Linked DNA regions of Struthio camelus. The protein of the gene in region 1 interacts with the protein of each later gene in a pairwise test. Links are inferred from orthologs where the notes say so. Each region holds a gene or a part of one and is shown on either strand. Other genes may lie near its edges. The genes, in order: FRK and BNIP2.

Region 1 (8,522 bases):
AGTCATAAGCATCTGATAAGATATGATAACGATGCTCATAAGTCATCCATGGCATAGTGCGCAGAAGTTGATAGAGTTATGTGAGAAATGAATTTGTCCCATCATGAAGTCTTCACAAAAAGATACACTTTTTAAGTTAAAAAAAAAAATCTCTATAACAGGATCAGTTTCAGAAGAGATTTGCTTGGAAGAATGGCAGACTCATGTTCACTGAGAATTCTTTGATCATCCACTTGCCATATTCTTCCTACCCAGAGACAGATTTGATTACAAGTATTTTTCATGCCTTAGAAAATTACAGAATGATTTTATACAGAATGGCTGCTTCATAGAAAGCAAATTAACTTACAGTTTTTAACACTATGGGCTGTATATCAATTAGAATAATGAACAATAAAATGAAAAATAGTGGCTCAGATCAGGTCCCATTGAAGATAATGGCAAAACTCATTAAATTTAGGAAGAATGAGATCTGATTGTTTGCACAAACAGAAAGTCACATACACTAGTTCACTCCTTGACAGAATCTAATTCCTCTGTGTTCATTTGTTGTGAGACGTAGCCTGTATTAGGCCCCAATTCAGCAAATAAATAAGCAATCCACATCACTAAAGCACTTGAAAATGTACTTTTAAAGCTGTCTAGAGCAGAGATGGATTACTGGATCAGCTTTATAAAAATAAATAGCCAGATTTTTCTCATTACAAATGCACACAATTTAAAGTGGAAAATACAGGATCAAATATAACCCTATGTCTTTGTAGATTTATGGTTTAAGATCACACACAAAAGGGGAATACGATTAATCAATAAGGATAAACAATTTCATCAAGAGTAAAATTACATAAATAATTTATTTTCATTGAAAAGAACGGCAATTTGCAAATTACAGAAACAAAATGGAAGGGCTGATTAAAAGGATTATAAAAAAGCTACAAAGTGGTGGTAATGTGTTTCTTTCTAACGTGCAAATGAAAAGAAATATTGCTGGAAAGACAGCTGTAATAAAAAAAAATCACTATGCTTCATTTTTATTTGTTACTTTAACAACCAACACAACTTTAAACTGTTTAATCACTTGAATTATTTACCACACACAGATTCATAGCATTATATATTTTCTTTTCTTCTTTTTTCTTTAAAGATCATATTATTGGAATATTTTATTTACCTAGAACCTTTAACTTGCTTGATCACAATGCATTAAGGAGTTAGTTTCTAAGAGAGGTATATTATTTCCAAATATGTAAATTGCCCGATGTATTATTGGCAACATTTTAACTATTGGTTAGAAGAAGATTATACAATACCAAAAATGATGCTGTGGACAGCAGTTTCATACATTATTTAATGATAGTTCTTGTATTTTATATTTTCTTAATTCCTTAGTTTTCAACAGAGAAGGGTTTTTTTTTTGTTTACAAAATTTAAAACAATTATAGAGGAAAATGTTTGTTTCTGTTGCAATCTTATCTTATTAATAAGATAAAGCGCTTTCTTTTTCAGTTTCCAGTTTGGACTGGCTCATATTTCTTAACCAAACTGCTGGTTGATATTGCTTTGGAATATTCATTTTCCCCAACAGAGAATACAGTTCTGACTGTAATTCTTCTCTGCATGGCATAGGGGACTTGTTTGGAACATCATGTATCATCAGTACTAAAGCCCGATACTCAGTGATGTTCAGTCCCTGCTTCTGAAATATAGAGCTGAATTTTTATGAAATGAAGGAGGAAATGTTCATTTTTTCTAAAACTCTAAGTTATTGCATAATTATAGCAATGGTTCTATAAATATTACAAACAATACAATAAATATAGGAAATATCTACAATGAAAACTAATAAAAAACAGTTTCGAAAGCATGGAATACAAATACAAATTCTATCAAAACAACACTTTTGAAATGTTATGTATTAATATGATTTAGTCTGTTACTTCTGTTCATGTGGAGCAGTAGCTCATTCCAAGAGCAGTTCAGCTAATATCAGTGTTTCAGATTAGGTTTGTACGAGTCTTATTAAACCATAACATAACAACACATTATTCTTCTGTCCATTCAGGCAACTGAGAGAAATATGTTTCACCACCATATTTAAACATGATTGTTTTGTAGTATAAACCAGGCCTAAAGCGAATTTGATTTAATGAATTTAGTGGCATGCAAAGTAAATCCTTTATGACAGAAGGATCGCAAGTCTAATGCAATGTTTGCAAGACTAATTTATTTATGGGCTTTGTACGTACCATACAGAACATAAAAAGTAACTTCAGGTATGTGTCATCTTTGAACCAACAGTATCAATGTGGATTTTTTTCATTATGGTATAAGGAAATCTACTTCAATAGCAATGGGGAATTACACATTTTGAAGGGGAAATGGACTATTTGATTGAGTAGGTTCTTTTCCTTTTCTAAAATCTAAGTTTATAGGATCCTGTCAGACACAGATGGAAAATGATCCATCTTTGTTTTAAGGTGTTGCATATTTCAAGAAATTACTTCCAATATTTATGATTTCTTTAATATTAATATAAGGACCAGAATGCTAAATTTCAGGATCCATACTGTAAATGTGCCATTCTGTCCATGATAAAATCATCCTTCTCTCTAGCCATTGTCAGTTGTAAAAATGAGGTGAGACTCTGCTGTCCTTCTCAAAGCATTTACGCTAATAAAATTCATCAATATACCTAATTAAGTCTTTCACAGCCACTATACAGACAGTAGCTTATTTATAGGGACGATTTCTGATTTGACATTCAGCCTCCAAAATAAATGAAATAAAGAAACAGAAGGCCAGTGAGTAATACTGATCTGCTTGGTCTCCTTTTTCAGAAAGAAAATATTCTAGGATACCAGGGGGGGAAAAAAACCCACCTACCCACCCACCCCCCGCCCACCCCCCTCCCCCCCCCCACAAAGTTGTTGCAAAGATTATCCTATCAAATGATATGCAATACCAGCACACAAGACTTGGTCAATAGTTTGTATTCAAAAGCTGCTAAATATACAAGATTATCCTAGTTTGTTCAAAACTATGAGCAGCATGTAAATGAAGATAATAGGATTTTTGTTTTCAGCAGAAACAGTGAAAACATTTTTATTATGTGTTCATTTTGGTCTCACCTGTGATAAAATTTTGTGGTCTCTAAAACATAAGGACTAGTGCTTTATTTTCAGAAATGCGGAGAATTCTTAATAAAATCACTAGGATGGGCAAAAACATTTGCAAAGACAATGATCCAGTGTGACTACCACAGTTTAGCTGGAATGAGACGAACCACATTTCCAGCCCACACAGGCCCTGGAATTTGCAGAGCATTTCTCAGCAGACCTATTACCCATCTGCTTCAGAAACTGTCTCCTTTGCATAATCTTTCCTTTCTCTCTCTCTTTTTTTCTAATTTCTTGAATCTGATTAACGAATCTCATGGCTATTTATTGAAGTCTGCTTGCTTCATAAATAGAACTGATCCTAAAGGGTTGATTTGGAAGGAAATAATCTAGTGTGCAGTTATTGACCGCTTTCAGAAAAAGTCTTTCTCATCTTGTAAAGCCAAGCAGGGGCATAAATTGGGAGAGAAGATGAATTTAATGCCTGGGATTGTCTGAGCTAAGATATTCACATACAGAAATGTTTGCAAGCTCAAGCCACAATTTCACTACAGTTATATAAATATTTATCTGAGTGGTCTCAGTGTATTCAATGGGATTTCCAATGTGTGTATTGGTACTGGAGGGCAAAGATAGGTCTTAATCTTGGAAAGAGCTTGTGCATGAGTTTGATTCTGTACTAGGTAAGTAGCTTCATTGTCATGATGGAACTATTTTGTGCTGTAAATGCGCATGCAAATCTTTGCCAGCTTAATGCCTAAGTTATGGGAAACATGGAACACTTTACAGGAAAAGCCTATCAAATCCACACATCTGAAAACTGAGAAAACAGAGATTATGTAATAAATCTTTTCTAATGTTTCCTGATCTCAGTAAATTTAGATAATTCTTGAAACAAGACTAATTAAAATAATTTCCCATTCAAAATAAGACTTTTCAGTCTTTGGATACTGTCCAACACACTTATGAAAGCAAATATCTATTGGCTGTCCATATTCTTGTTAATGTGGTTAAGAGCTATGTGACGATTCACAAGCTGAATATGATTTTTGTAACATGCTATTTTTGGTTGGGCCCAAAGGATTCATTACAGATTATGGGGTTTAGTAATCAGCTGGTGTGCGTGGTATTTTCCCATTTATTCAGTTTCCATCGCATCATTGCGGAAGAGGAGCAAGGGACCCAGTTGCCCATCCCTCTTTGGTGGAGATGCCTCAGGTAGTAATACGCAGACAGCAAAAGCTTCTTTCAGATATCCAGCAGCCACAAGTCCATCACAAGGCTGCTCGTGCCACCAGTCTCCACTCACTCAAAGGACTGACTGAGAGACATGGTGAAAACAGCAGTGGCCTCAGTTTCCTTGTTCCTTCCAGTAAAGTACAGCAATAGCAGTCAGCAACTGCAAATGGAGCAAAAAGGAGACATGAAAATGATTAAGGAGTTATTGCTAGTTATTGCTGATAAGAAAATTGATGAAGCTGCTTTTCTTTATCTCCAGGAAGTGCCATTTCTTTGCGTGGGTTGTGTTTGCCCTATTTTGCCTCTTACCGAAATGTCACCGTGGGGCACAGGCAAGCTACCTCTTCTGCTTCTTGCTCAAAACATTACATGTTCCCCGCACTGTGGTGATTTGCAGCTGTGATAAAGCTTGGCTAACACTGCTGGGATGCAGGAGATGGCTCTCCAGGCTGCTTTGCCTTGGCAGCATCCAGACGCCCATTCCGGGTGTGTCTACCAGTTTATAGGTGCTTTAGAAACGGACCCATACAGGCTAGCTTAGTTTCCATTGGTTTACTTGCTGACTGGAAGACCACCATCTTTTTTTATGTGTGGTTGGTAAAGTTAGCTAACCCTTTAAAGCAATTCTTTGGCTAGTGACTTTGCTCTTTTAAAATGCAGAATAAGGAATGAATTAAAATCTATTACTGTTTTACTGTAAGTCCCATATATTTATTTTTCCTCATACAAAGTGCCAAACCCAGCTCATTTGGAAAAAAAAAAGAAAAGAAAAGAAAAGAAAAGAAAATAGCCAGAGGACTGTTTCAAAGCCCTGACCTTCAGCAGGAGGAAATGCCTGTGTGTAAAGCAGGCACAGAAACAGCAGGTGTGCTCCAGGTGAGGGCGCCTCCCAGCCTCAGGCATGCAAAGGATTCCCACCGAGAAGAAAAACCGAAGCAAACCAGGAAACAAAAAGAAATATTCAGCCTGTCCACGTCGGAGACTGCTAAAGAAACAATCAGGTCAGCTTGGTTAATCATTACTGAGACAGACTGTACAGAAGTTCACAGCTGATCACACAGAAGAAACCTGTTTGCCATAAGAAAACTCCCCTCACAAGCAGTAAGAAATGAGAAGCCTCCCACATCAGATCTTCTGAATTTGTTTTTTGCTGTAGGAGAAAAGGACCCATGCTCTCCTATTGTTCCAAGACTTCAGCCCAAACACAGTTCTTTTGTTGCTTTCCTGTTCAGAAGAGGAAGTGAGAAATTTCCCTCCACATGTGCTCCAGCGCTTGGACGCTCAGGTTTCACTCCTGAATCAGGAGCCGCCTGTAATGAGCTCCCGGTGGGGCTTGGAGAGAAGGTTCAGCTGGGGCAAGAGTTGTTTCATTTTGTGCCAAAGGAGGAGGAGAGGAAGAAACGCTGCAAAGAACTGAAATGTTGATGGTGCAAAAAGTTGTCTAAGAGTATTGCAGTTCGGAAAGTAAAAGAGAAGAAGAAAACAGAGGAAGGTACAAAGAAATAGAGCAGCAGGATGGGAAACTTTTGTCAGAGGCATTGCATCTGTTTGCAGCCCTGTATCCCTTGCGTATTCTCACGGGGAGAAAATGATCGGAATGAGGTTGGCCAGGTCTTCGCCAACCCTGCTGTCACAGGAGATGCCTTCCAAACAGGGCAGAAAGACAGATACAGTGAAATAAGAGGTAAACCTTTGCCTTCGCTGCCTGGGGAGCATCTGGTGAATACTCGCAGATTTGTGGCACTCTTTGACTATGAGGCTCGGACTGAAGAGGACTTGAGCTTCCAAGCTGGCGACAAGCTTGAAGTGCTGGATGCTTCCCACGAGGGCTGGTGGTATGCTAGGCTCCTCCTGCCGAGGGGGTCAGTCTGTCCCGGCCGCAAGCTCCAGGGCTACATCCCTGCCAACTACATAGCTGCTGACCAGACCATTGAAGCTGAACTGTAAGTAACCTGTGTAACATACACTGCAATCTCTTTTCTGTTAGTTTAAACTGGTTTGGAGCAGACTTTTATGGCTTTTTATTTGCTGAGTAGGACCCTGCCACACTCAGCCTCCTTGCGTGTGTGAGGAGAAGACGCCACGGTCTCAAAAAGATCAATTATAAGGGGTAAAGTGTTCAGGTTTTGGTTTAAATTATTTCCCTCTCTGATATGCCCTAATTGCCTGCTCAAGAAGCATCTGGGAATCAGGCTGGTTACCACTGTGAGAGCTCACTGTTGCTATTGGTATGAGAGTAAGTGTGTGTTAGATGCTTTTCAGAAAGTAAAAAGAAATAACCCCTGCCCTAAACAGCCTTTAGTCTAACTACGTGCCATGTTAGCAATTAGTCAGAGTTTCAGGAAGCTACCTTTATACCTTTAGATTCCTGTTACAAGTGAGTCTCTAAAAGATAACTTACTTTCTCATGGTTCCCACTGAACCATTTCTTATCTGTAAGCAAATCCCTGCTCCCAGAACAAAGTTAACCGGAGTAAGTACTGCAAAGGAAAAAGAAAGTGGATATAGCAAAGGAATGCAAATTAGATTTGTTTAAGTTTCACAGAGCTTAATTACACAGCCCATATTTGTCTGACCCTTGAAAACACATTTGATCATATTTAACATTCAGAACTGGACCAGAAATGACATATAATAAGTTACTTAGCTCTCTAGTGAGGATGAGTGGTGATGAATCAGTCTGGGATGCAGTTATTTTTGTGTGTTGCAATCAGGGGCAGCACTTACTAAAACAGCACTGACTGCAATTCCAGAAATATGTGCATGCAAATTATCAATATGGAAAGAGACAACAGAAATAGCATTCTTAGCTTGCAGAAATCATTTTGACTAGAAACTGTGTATATCTCTTTACTCATCATGTCCAAAGATTTTCTTTAAACCTGAGAGGAATGACATTGCAGTTTTTCAGTTAAAGCTCCTTTGGACCTGAAACATCACCTCTGATCTGATCCGTGCACTGTATTTTCTAGGGCTAGGATAATTGGCTTAGATATGATTATGCCAGTCCTTTATCAACTGTAAGATTTGTTCAGGAGGCATCTTAGGGCAATTGTAACCTGAAAACCTTAATTTCCAGAAACTGACCAGCCATTTCTTTTTCTGTGTTCAGGCAGACAATGTTTTCAATGATCGTGTTCAGAAGAATTCTTCCAATTGCAGAAATTAATCTGCAAGGAAGGTGGTCTTCCGAACCACTGGAGAAGTGGTGGTAGGCTATAATTCAACTCAGCTTGACCTTCAGACTCTTTCAAGAACCTAGTTTTCTCAACAAGTCATCTACAATTTCTACTTGCTGTTAATACTGTGAAAGTAACTTTGTTCAGTTATACAGCAAAGTCTCAAGTATCAGCTCTTAAGATCCTTCTTATCTTTCTAGATCTCCAGCATCAGATATGGAGTTAACTTTGCCAAAGTGCATTGCCGAATAATGATTTTTTTGCTTTTTATAGAAAAAAAAAATCTTTATATACTTCTCCTCCTTTTTTAGTAAAGATTAAATTTTGATAACAGATTTTTGTTTATAGATTCTTTTTTTTAGAACAGTTGAGAAGAAGTGTGAAGCTTGCACAGCACTCGAAGTCATTTCTTCAAAAGTTTGTCAGTGCTTTAGTGTAATACCAAAACTAATCTGGCTAAATATGTAGTCTTTTCTCAGGTATTCAGATTTCCTGCTAGGTCAGTTGGCCTTAGTGACCTTCAGTAAAAATAAGTACACAAGACTTTCTTGCATCAGGCCCGCAGATATCCTTTCGTATAATCATAGACTAACTTAGGTGGAAAGGACCTCTGAAGGTCACTCGCACCAACCCCTCAACTCAAAATGTGGCCAACGTAAAGTTAGACCAGCTTGCTTAGGGCTGTGTCCACTTGACCTTTTCGCCCTTATGGTGAGGAATTTTCTCCGTATTCCAAGTGGAATTTTCCTTGCTATAATTTCCTCTAAAACTTCACCCTCACCTATGCTCCACCTTTCATATGTCTGTTATTCTAGTGAAGAAAATTAGATGAAACAATAAGATCTGCAGTAATGGCAGTGTTTTAAAGAGCTAAATCTTGTTTTCTTTAAAGTAAACCTTTTCATTTTGATTTTAATTAGCTCTCCTTTGGTGTTGGCCAGTTGCTCAGGGTCATGACAGATTTTTCTGGAAATAAGAAAAGATTTTA
Region 2 (8,009 bases), on another chromosome or scaffold:
TGTGCTTGTTGTGTCACAGTCAGAGAGGGAGGGAGTGCATGTGATGGGGGTGTAATGAATGCCTGCTACCCTCTCGACTCTCTGGGATACGTAGGGATGACAAACTCTCTGAGGAACAATTCCTTTGACTGGTTTGTTGAGGAAAGGAAACTTGTCATGCTGCCAAGAATAAAACTGCTTCTGGGCTTAGTTTTGAATTTTATAAAGTGAATAAGTGAAAAACGTATACATGTTCAGACCCAAGTCATGAATAATTAAAAGAATATATAATTGTACCCAGTTTTCCCCTCAAGCTCAACCAGCAAAGACATCTTCTGTCCATGTAACAGGGTACTTCATGTTTTTTTCAGCAACTGTAAGAAGTGATCTGAACCAAGTATCACTGAATTCATATAGTATGCGAATATGAGTAACAGCCTGACCACCAGTACACACAGGAAAGCAAATGGAGAACTCAGTTTTATTTGAGGGCAGTTGCAGATTTTTGATAAATATTTTCCCAGTGCCGGTCATCCACATTTTATATTGGATTCTGAGCACAATACAATAAAAATTATATTATGAACACAGCATTATGGTAAACTTAAGCTAATACTGCAAATGGCAAAGATCAGACATCTTTACAAAGCATGATAACAGGTCAAAAATAATTACGCAGAAAATAACCTCAGAGAACGGACGTTACCGGCATCTTTTTTTGAGATAGGAACAAGTTCTAGTACAAATTTAAAAATGCAAGTTAATGGTAATGAGCCAAATGTTTGCCTGCAAGTATACTGGTGCATTAGTTGTCTAATGACTTTTATCCAGAAAAGGCAGAAGCAAGAGATTCCTATTGCTTTTATTTTCCACATTATTCCCATAGAGTCAGCCTATGAGCACTTGCTATCTCTGTTTTCAACTCAAGTGAGAACTGGGATTAGTAACTACTCTTTTGTGAGAATGCAGTAGTCTGCAAATATGATATTAAGAGTAATGTATTTAGTACCTTTCACCTGCAGAAATCTTATTTAAACACTAATAAAGAGTACCAATAACTTCTGTAAACAAGTTAATCACTATCCCCTCCCACAAATGTAGACATACGGCTAGCAAGCTGGCTCTTGCTCTCTCTCATATCAACAAACTGATGCTTGCTGATAAGAAAAATGTATTAAACAACTTAAAATCCTGTACGGGAGGAATGAAGAGTCTCTTTTGAATGTAGTAATAGCTATGGCCTTGAAATAGCAAAGGTCAAGAGGTTGATTTGATTGTTATTAAAGGTGCACGTTCTTTATATCCTTGTACTTCCTTAGCTGAATTCCGAACGCAAGACCTTCACTTAGACTTGCTTTCTGCCTTGACCTCTCATCAGCTAGAAGGTATGCGCTCAGAGAAAGAATAAGGCAAAGCAATAAGGAGGGCACCCAGCTCTCGGAGAGGTATGAAGTGTAAGTCTGATGAAGAGGAATGGCCCACTACAGCATTGCGAGTTCCAGCTGAAGTAGCTCAAACAGGTTTGGGATAATGTAAACTGGGCACAGGAGGACTGTGGGGAGGGTCACTCTGCACCATGTTTCACCACATGATATATAAAGAGGATGCAACTATCACCTTTAGCTAGTTACACCATCCTGACAACTGATTTCAATAGCTTTCATATGGCTTTAAAGAGATGATGATGTACCCTACAGGAATATCACAAGTGATTCAAAACATTATGCACTATTTAGTCCCTGCCCACATATATGAAAGTTATTACTTTATAATGTGTTGCTCTTGTCATTCTGAATCGCAAAAAATGTCTAATAAGATGGGAGACAAATTATTATGTACGCGGAATACAGAAGTAGAGGTAAACTACAGCCCAAAGACCTTGTCATCAAAAAAGGGCAAGATAAGACTGAATAAAATCCAGTATTCTTACTTTCTGCCTAGGGCAAGGAGGGATTACATATCACTGCAGTCCCTATGTCCAACCTTCAAGCAAAGATGGACTTTCAAATGAGTGTTTTTAAATTCCAACATTTCTGAGTTGTTGCATGAACCATTTTAAAGGGGGTAGTCTTAATTTGTTGGGTTTTTTTACATTACTAGAAATTTTTTTCTTATAAGTTAAATGAGGAAAAGACTATGAAAAATTAGAATGTTTTGGTGTTCTACTGCTTTTCATGACTATTTCATGTTTAAAGGTTAATTGTGAATTACACCAGACCGAAAGTTGTGTAACAGTTGGTGGTTGTTTGTTTGTGTTTGTGGGTTTTTTTTTTTTTGTGGTATGCAGGACAAAATTAATGTGACAAAGCATTATTCTTACAAGCCTATTCTCTTTGGTAAAGCTTTCATATAAAAATCTGCTTACGTTTGCAATGGTCTGATGTTTAAAAATAGAATTATTCAACATTCCCTAGTAGTTAGCTCTGACCCCTTGTTTGCTTGTTTTCTAGGTTACGTAGGAATATCGATAGATTTCCAGCTATACTGTGCCACCCCGTGTAAGAGATGAGAAATTGCATGACATTGCTGACCCTCGCAAAATGAGTTTGGAGTTAGTATGCCTTACAGAATATGACAATCTGTGTATTCTAAGGACAGTTTTGAATTTTATCAAAAACTGAAGCACATTTTGGAAAGCATTAAAATATTTAGCATGAAACTTAGTTTCTGTAAAAGCATTAATTTGCTGGAAAACTTTCAAACTGTTGAAATAATAATAAATAAAGGCCCTCTATGTATTACGGCTTGCTGTTGAAAGACAAGGAAGATTATTTCTTGGGTAAGAAAATTATTCTCTACAGAACAATTTAATCTGATTTTCTACGTTATCGAAAACAGGACACTACTGACTGAAAATCTATACTCTGACACTTTGCAAACTTCAATTAGCTTATAAAGTAAGAGTTTCTTCAGGCTTCAGACTCGCAGGTAAGTTTTGCTCAATGTCAACTGACCAGCCAATACAAGGGAACTTCTCTTTCAGATAATGTAATGTTCCTCTCCAAGAAGCAGAGACCCTTGATCTACGGAGCTCAGTCAGACCCAGCATAGTCTGAATAATTCCCACTGTTCACAGATACTCTTGATTCAACAGACCGCTGATCCTAACCATTCAGTCTTCAATACCGTGACAAGTACTTTATTACACACTGATCACAGAAGTCACATAAGTGGATCTCCACCATTTAAAAACTGGGATGCTATGGTCAAGGGATGTTCCAAAGTAGGTATGCTACTAATGGTAAGTTTGGTGTGCAGCTGGGAGCAGACTGAAAAGTATAATGTTCTTAAGCACTAAATAATGCTCTTTGGTCATCTTCTGTGGCATTCTGACCTCCAGAAATAAAAAATGGTGACAGAACAAAGATGGGAGAATGCAATATTGTTCCCTTTTGCTGTTTGGGCTCACTGTTACTGTATTTCTCCTACCAGTCGTTGCATACCCATTTTTTTATATTTTAAGCTAGCTCTTACTTTGTGTTTGTAGCTATTACCTGATAATTATGTTACAGTACTGCCTACAGGCCTCACTCTGTTTGCATGATGCTAATTCTTGATACAGGTATTTTCTCTGTTCTAATTACCTTAATTATTGCTTTTTCCCCCCAGTTATTCTTGCACTTTACCTTTGCTCAGGGGTTTGTGGGCTGAGAGTTCTCTTCTTCTTTAGCAATATTTTCCTTTTCTCACGTTTTCCTACATTCAGTTCTTATACCCTTAAATCTCTTTAATTCTTCCCACTCTTCTCCGCATCTGTCACGCTTGTTCCAAGTTTCTTCTCTACCCTAGAATAAAACAAACTTGTCACTGTTGTTGCATCTTTCACCTTTGGGCAACACAGTGGCAGTGAGAAGTAAAAATGAAGTTAGTAGCTGTCTCAGTGTCATAGCAATGTGTGAGTGAGTGGCCAATTCTGCATGTATCTGAATTTGTTTGCATATACGCTTGGAATGCGTGTATTCACTTTCCAGCAACAGCCCCGTTGTAGAAATCAGCTAGTGTTCATGACATTTCACCCTAAGCATGATAAAATCCCTGTGCTGTAAGCGTTCTCTTGTCCTGCTGACCCGTACCACACCAGGCAGGGCAGTCACCAGTGGGGGGGGGGGGGGGGGGAACATAACACAGACCTCCCTCTCTACCTCAGCCAAAAACCAGCCCCTCCTCCCAGAGACCTCGGCCAAAACGGGTCTCCATCATCACCTTTCGTTACGTATGCGATTATGATGGCAACGAGCTTCATCGAATTTCCTATGCTTCTATCCTGCCTCTGTAATATTAAAATCTGGAAATTAATTATTTCGTGTTGAAGGACAGTATTTTGGATGCCACACCTGACACTTAAATAGCTGAAGCTGTAATTCCAAATGAGGTTGGGACTTTTTTTCTCCCTCAGCACCTCCGCTCCGTCGCCTCCCCAGGACGCACTCCCCGTTGTATCCGTTCTCCCGCCCCTCAGGGAGGAAGCCCCGCCCTCGCCCCTCACGCACACCTCGGCGTCCCTCAAGCGCTCGCAGCACACGCGGGCCCGCCCGGGCCCTTGGCCGCGGCCGCCTCACGGGGCGCCAACGGACGCCCCGCGCGCCCCCAACGGCCGGGCGCGCGAGGACCGCGTGCGCATGCGCCAGCTGCCGGAGCTGGGAGGGGCGGGTGAGGCGGATGGCTTCTTCCACGCGTGCGCGCCAGCGCCCCCTTCCCTCCCCCAGCCCCAGCGGCCGCGGAGCGCGGCGTCACGTGAGCGCGGCGGCCTATCCGCTTCCGGGTTAGCGCGTCGCGGGCCTTTGCGCGGCGGCCTGCGGGCGTCGGCTGCCTCCGCCAGGTACGGCCCGCGGCGGGGGCGGGCGCGGGCGCGGGGCGTCGGCGCGGCCTGCTGTGGCTCGGCAGGCTTCGGCGGGGCCGCCCGTGGCGCGGGGCGGCGGGCGCTCCGGGGCCTGGCGGCAGCTGTCGGTTGCGCGAGGGCAGCGGGGCGCTGCGGCGGTCGGGCGAGGAGCGCTGGCCGTGGGCGGCCCGCGGGGCGCGCGCAGCCGTTCGGGCGGTCTCCTCGCCGCTCGGTGCTTGCCTTCACATCGCAGCGATTTCGGGAGCGAAGGTTCTTCTGTCGCTCTGAGTACTTGTAGTAGGAATCTGTAACTCAGGGGCCCGACCAGCCCACGCCTCGCCGGCGAAGCGCAGCCCAAAAGCGGCCTCCTCAGAGAGGAGAGCAAGAGCGTTGTCATAAATCTCATCCTTTCCCGATGGTTTCGCTATGATTTGCTCGTGTTGAGGGAAGGGAGGAAAAAGATTGAGAAGTAATCTGTTAGTAATGGAAGTCATTGCGTGACCTCGTTTTGTAAGCTTGTACGTGGTAGAGTCTTGATTATAAAACGTCTGTCGCCAGATCTGGGAGATACTGTTTTGCAGCGTTACGGTTAGTGTGGCCGCGTTTTAAAAGCTTTATAAAGCTATTTAAAAGGGCTGTAGAAGCGCTTAGGAATTACGGTGAGCTACGCAATATGGATATGGGTGCAAGAAAACAGATATGTGTTCCTTGCTTTTGGCTTGCTGTGAAACCAAACTTGAAAAATACTCTTAGATTACACGTCTTTAATGCCTGCAAGCTGGATTTCAATTTAATGCGTCTCTGAAATGGTGAAGGTAAAATGTAGAAAAAAAGTTAGCTAGCTTTGTTTGAAGTTAATTTCAGCTTCCTGATACTGGAATAGCAGGCTGTTCTTCGTGCAGGTCACGTAGTACGTAGTTTAATCGTGTACTCACTGCAGTCCTCTTGCAGAATAAACCCCAGAGTTATTTTACTTCAAACAGTGCGGTGCTGATCAAGGGCTGCAAATAGGTCTTTGTCTGGGATAGAGAGATGTGAGCGTATCCAGATGCTTAACTCCTGTTCAGCTGTGTATTCCTTCTCTTCTGAGAATTCAACAGTGAAAACTATTTAAAAAGCAGCTTTAACTTCATAAATAAAACAGATTTCATGCATTCTGTTGTCTGTCGCTTTCTCTTTTAAGTATCTAGGATAAATTAGAGCGATATTGTTGACTTCTTCTGTTCAACTGTAAACCAAACCAAGAAACGGCAGTTTACCGTAGGCTTCTCTTCGCTCTCCTATTTGGTATTGCAGCACCTGCCCTAACAGTATTGGTGGGATAACCGTGAAAACTGTGTGCGCTCATCTAGCAGAGAAAGGGCTGAGAACAGTGCTGTTTGACTTCAGGTACAAGCAGTAACCTCTTCAAATGAAAACTTCATTAGCTGCAGCAGAAAAGTAGTGGATTTTAGTGATGTTTTGCCCTGTTAGGTGTTTTTTTCCCCGTTTGTAATGTTGTGACTTGCCTCTGGAGGTACAGTACACAAGTGCAAGAGGCACTGTCACACCCCGGTGTCCGGGGTTCCAGTAAAAGAGCAGAACCACGTGGCAGTCCTGCATCCATATGTTTTCCAACATGTGGAAGTTTCTAACCTTTGTAGCCTGGACTATTCAAATTCCATTTCCAGCAATAAAATGGAGAATAATGAGCAGTAGGGAGTGAAAATGAGCAAGCGTGCTGTTCCGAGAAACCAGGGCTTTTTTGAGTTGGCCACAAAGAGTGATAGGACCAGGTAGAAACTGCTTGCTTTTCTTCTACGTGACTAATAAAGAATTGCGTTATTACAGTATATTACATTTTTCAAGTTTAGTTTTCTAGATCTTTCTTCTACTCATTAATTAATGAGAGAGTTTGGCACAGTAAAAACACAGGAAGTCAGCGCTCCCACGGTAGCCATGGGAAGACTGTATTCAAAAGTCTGCTTTAGTTTGTAGAAGCAGAAATAATAGAATTTATTTTTTCCTGCTTTGTAAGTATTTATATTAATGATGTAAAGCATTCAGTAGCTAACTTGAAAGTTGGCACTCTTCTAACTTTCCTGAAATTGAAGATTACCCTCCTTCCTTAATTTCTAATTTTTCTAGTTGCTAAATGGTAGTGCTTTTGCAAGTGAGACTTAAATAAAGTCAAAAAATCCCAAATTGTTACTTAATCTGAATGTTTAGTAGGATGCAGAAATGGAATAGGCTAAAACTTATATAACTTTTATATTTTCTTATATAAGAAAAGTTTTATGATTTGGAACTTGCTTTGCAAGTTGTTTGCAATTGTGCAGTCTTTAGCAAATAATTGTTTTTAATACACTTTTATGAGATGTTGCTGATGAGAATTCTGCAAGGGATGTGGGAAATATTTTGTAAGAGTATTTTAAAATGTTATTACCTCCTGAAAAGAACTTTTAAAGTCTGTGTCTTAGTGCATTGAGTTTACCTCAATGTAAGGAAACGTATGTAGGCAGGAACCGTTTCTGCACTGAAATGCTGTATGTCTTAAATTAATGGATGTTACTTGATGTTCAGCATTCTTCAAAAGTGTGGTGAGAAACTTTAAGCAAAACTCTACTTTAAGCTCTCTTGTGGGAACTGTATTGTGAATGTGGTGCAGACAAGCTCAAGGGTAGCATCTCACAGGCACCAGCGCAGTGACAGGGCTTGTTTGTTTGTACACTGTCAGTTTTTTTCATTAGTGATTTGTCCCTTAAGATTGAAGTAATCAGTTTAGATTTTCTTTTAGGTTTAGGATCTGTTTGTTTGTTTTCAGTGAACCGTCAGATACTCTATTCCATGCTGTTTGTAACCACGCTATTCTGTTCATGTGATTGTGTAGGATGTTTTTGGAAACCTCCCATGTTCCATTTAAGTGGTCCAAAACAAAAATTCAGAAAGAACTGCATATAAATTCACCTGTTACTATTGATCAAAATATGAGCTTATCTCCAAGCAAATATTAAAAATTAATTGTTTCTAATAAATGCTAACAGGTTAGCATGCAGGAGACTTTGCTTAAAAATGTCAGCATCTTAATGAAAGAGAGGACACGTTTCCTGAGGAATATCCTATGATTCAAGCAGCAAGAAACTACTGCAAGCAGCATATTATTAAAAAAAAAAAAAAAAGGGAAAAGCAGGAGAGCTGGAAGGACCTTACTTGGGGGCCACGAGTGTGGGTG

Evidence for each region.
Region 2: the proteins of FRK (region 1) and BNIP2 interact in binary tests that used the Homo sapiens proteins (3 or more experiments, as listed by UniProt). The two-hybrid records come from large-scale screens. The link is inferred for Struthio camelus from reciprocal best matches to the Homo sapiens genes FRK and BNIP2.

Annotation. Positions count from the first base shown.
Region 1 is NC_090944.1:63,933,895-63,942,416, reverse strand, and holds the start of FRK (tyrosine-protein kinase FRK), read left to right. Parts: upstream 1-5,115; 5' UTR 5,116-5,870; coding exon 5,871-6,298; intron 6,299-8,522. UniProt on the Homo sapiens protein: Non-receptor tyrosine-protein kinase that negatively regulates cell proliferation.
Region 2 is NC_090953.1:19,540,157-19,548,165, reverse strand, and holds the start of BNIP2 (BCL2/adenovirus E1B 19 kDa protein-interacting protein 2), read left to right. Parts: upstream 1-4,682; 5' UTR 4,683-4,798; intron 4,799-8,009.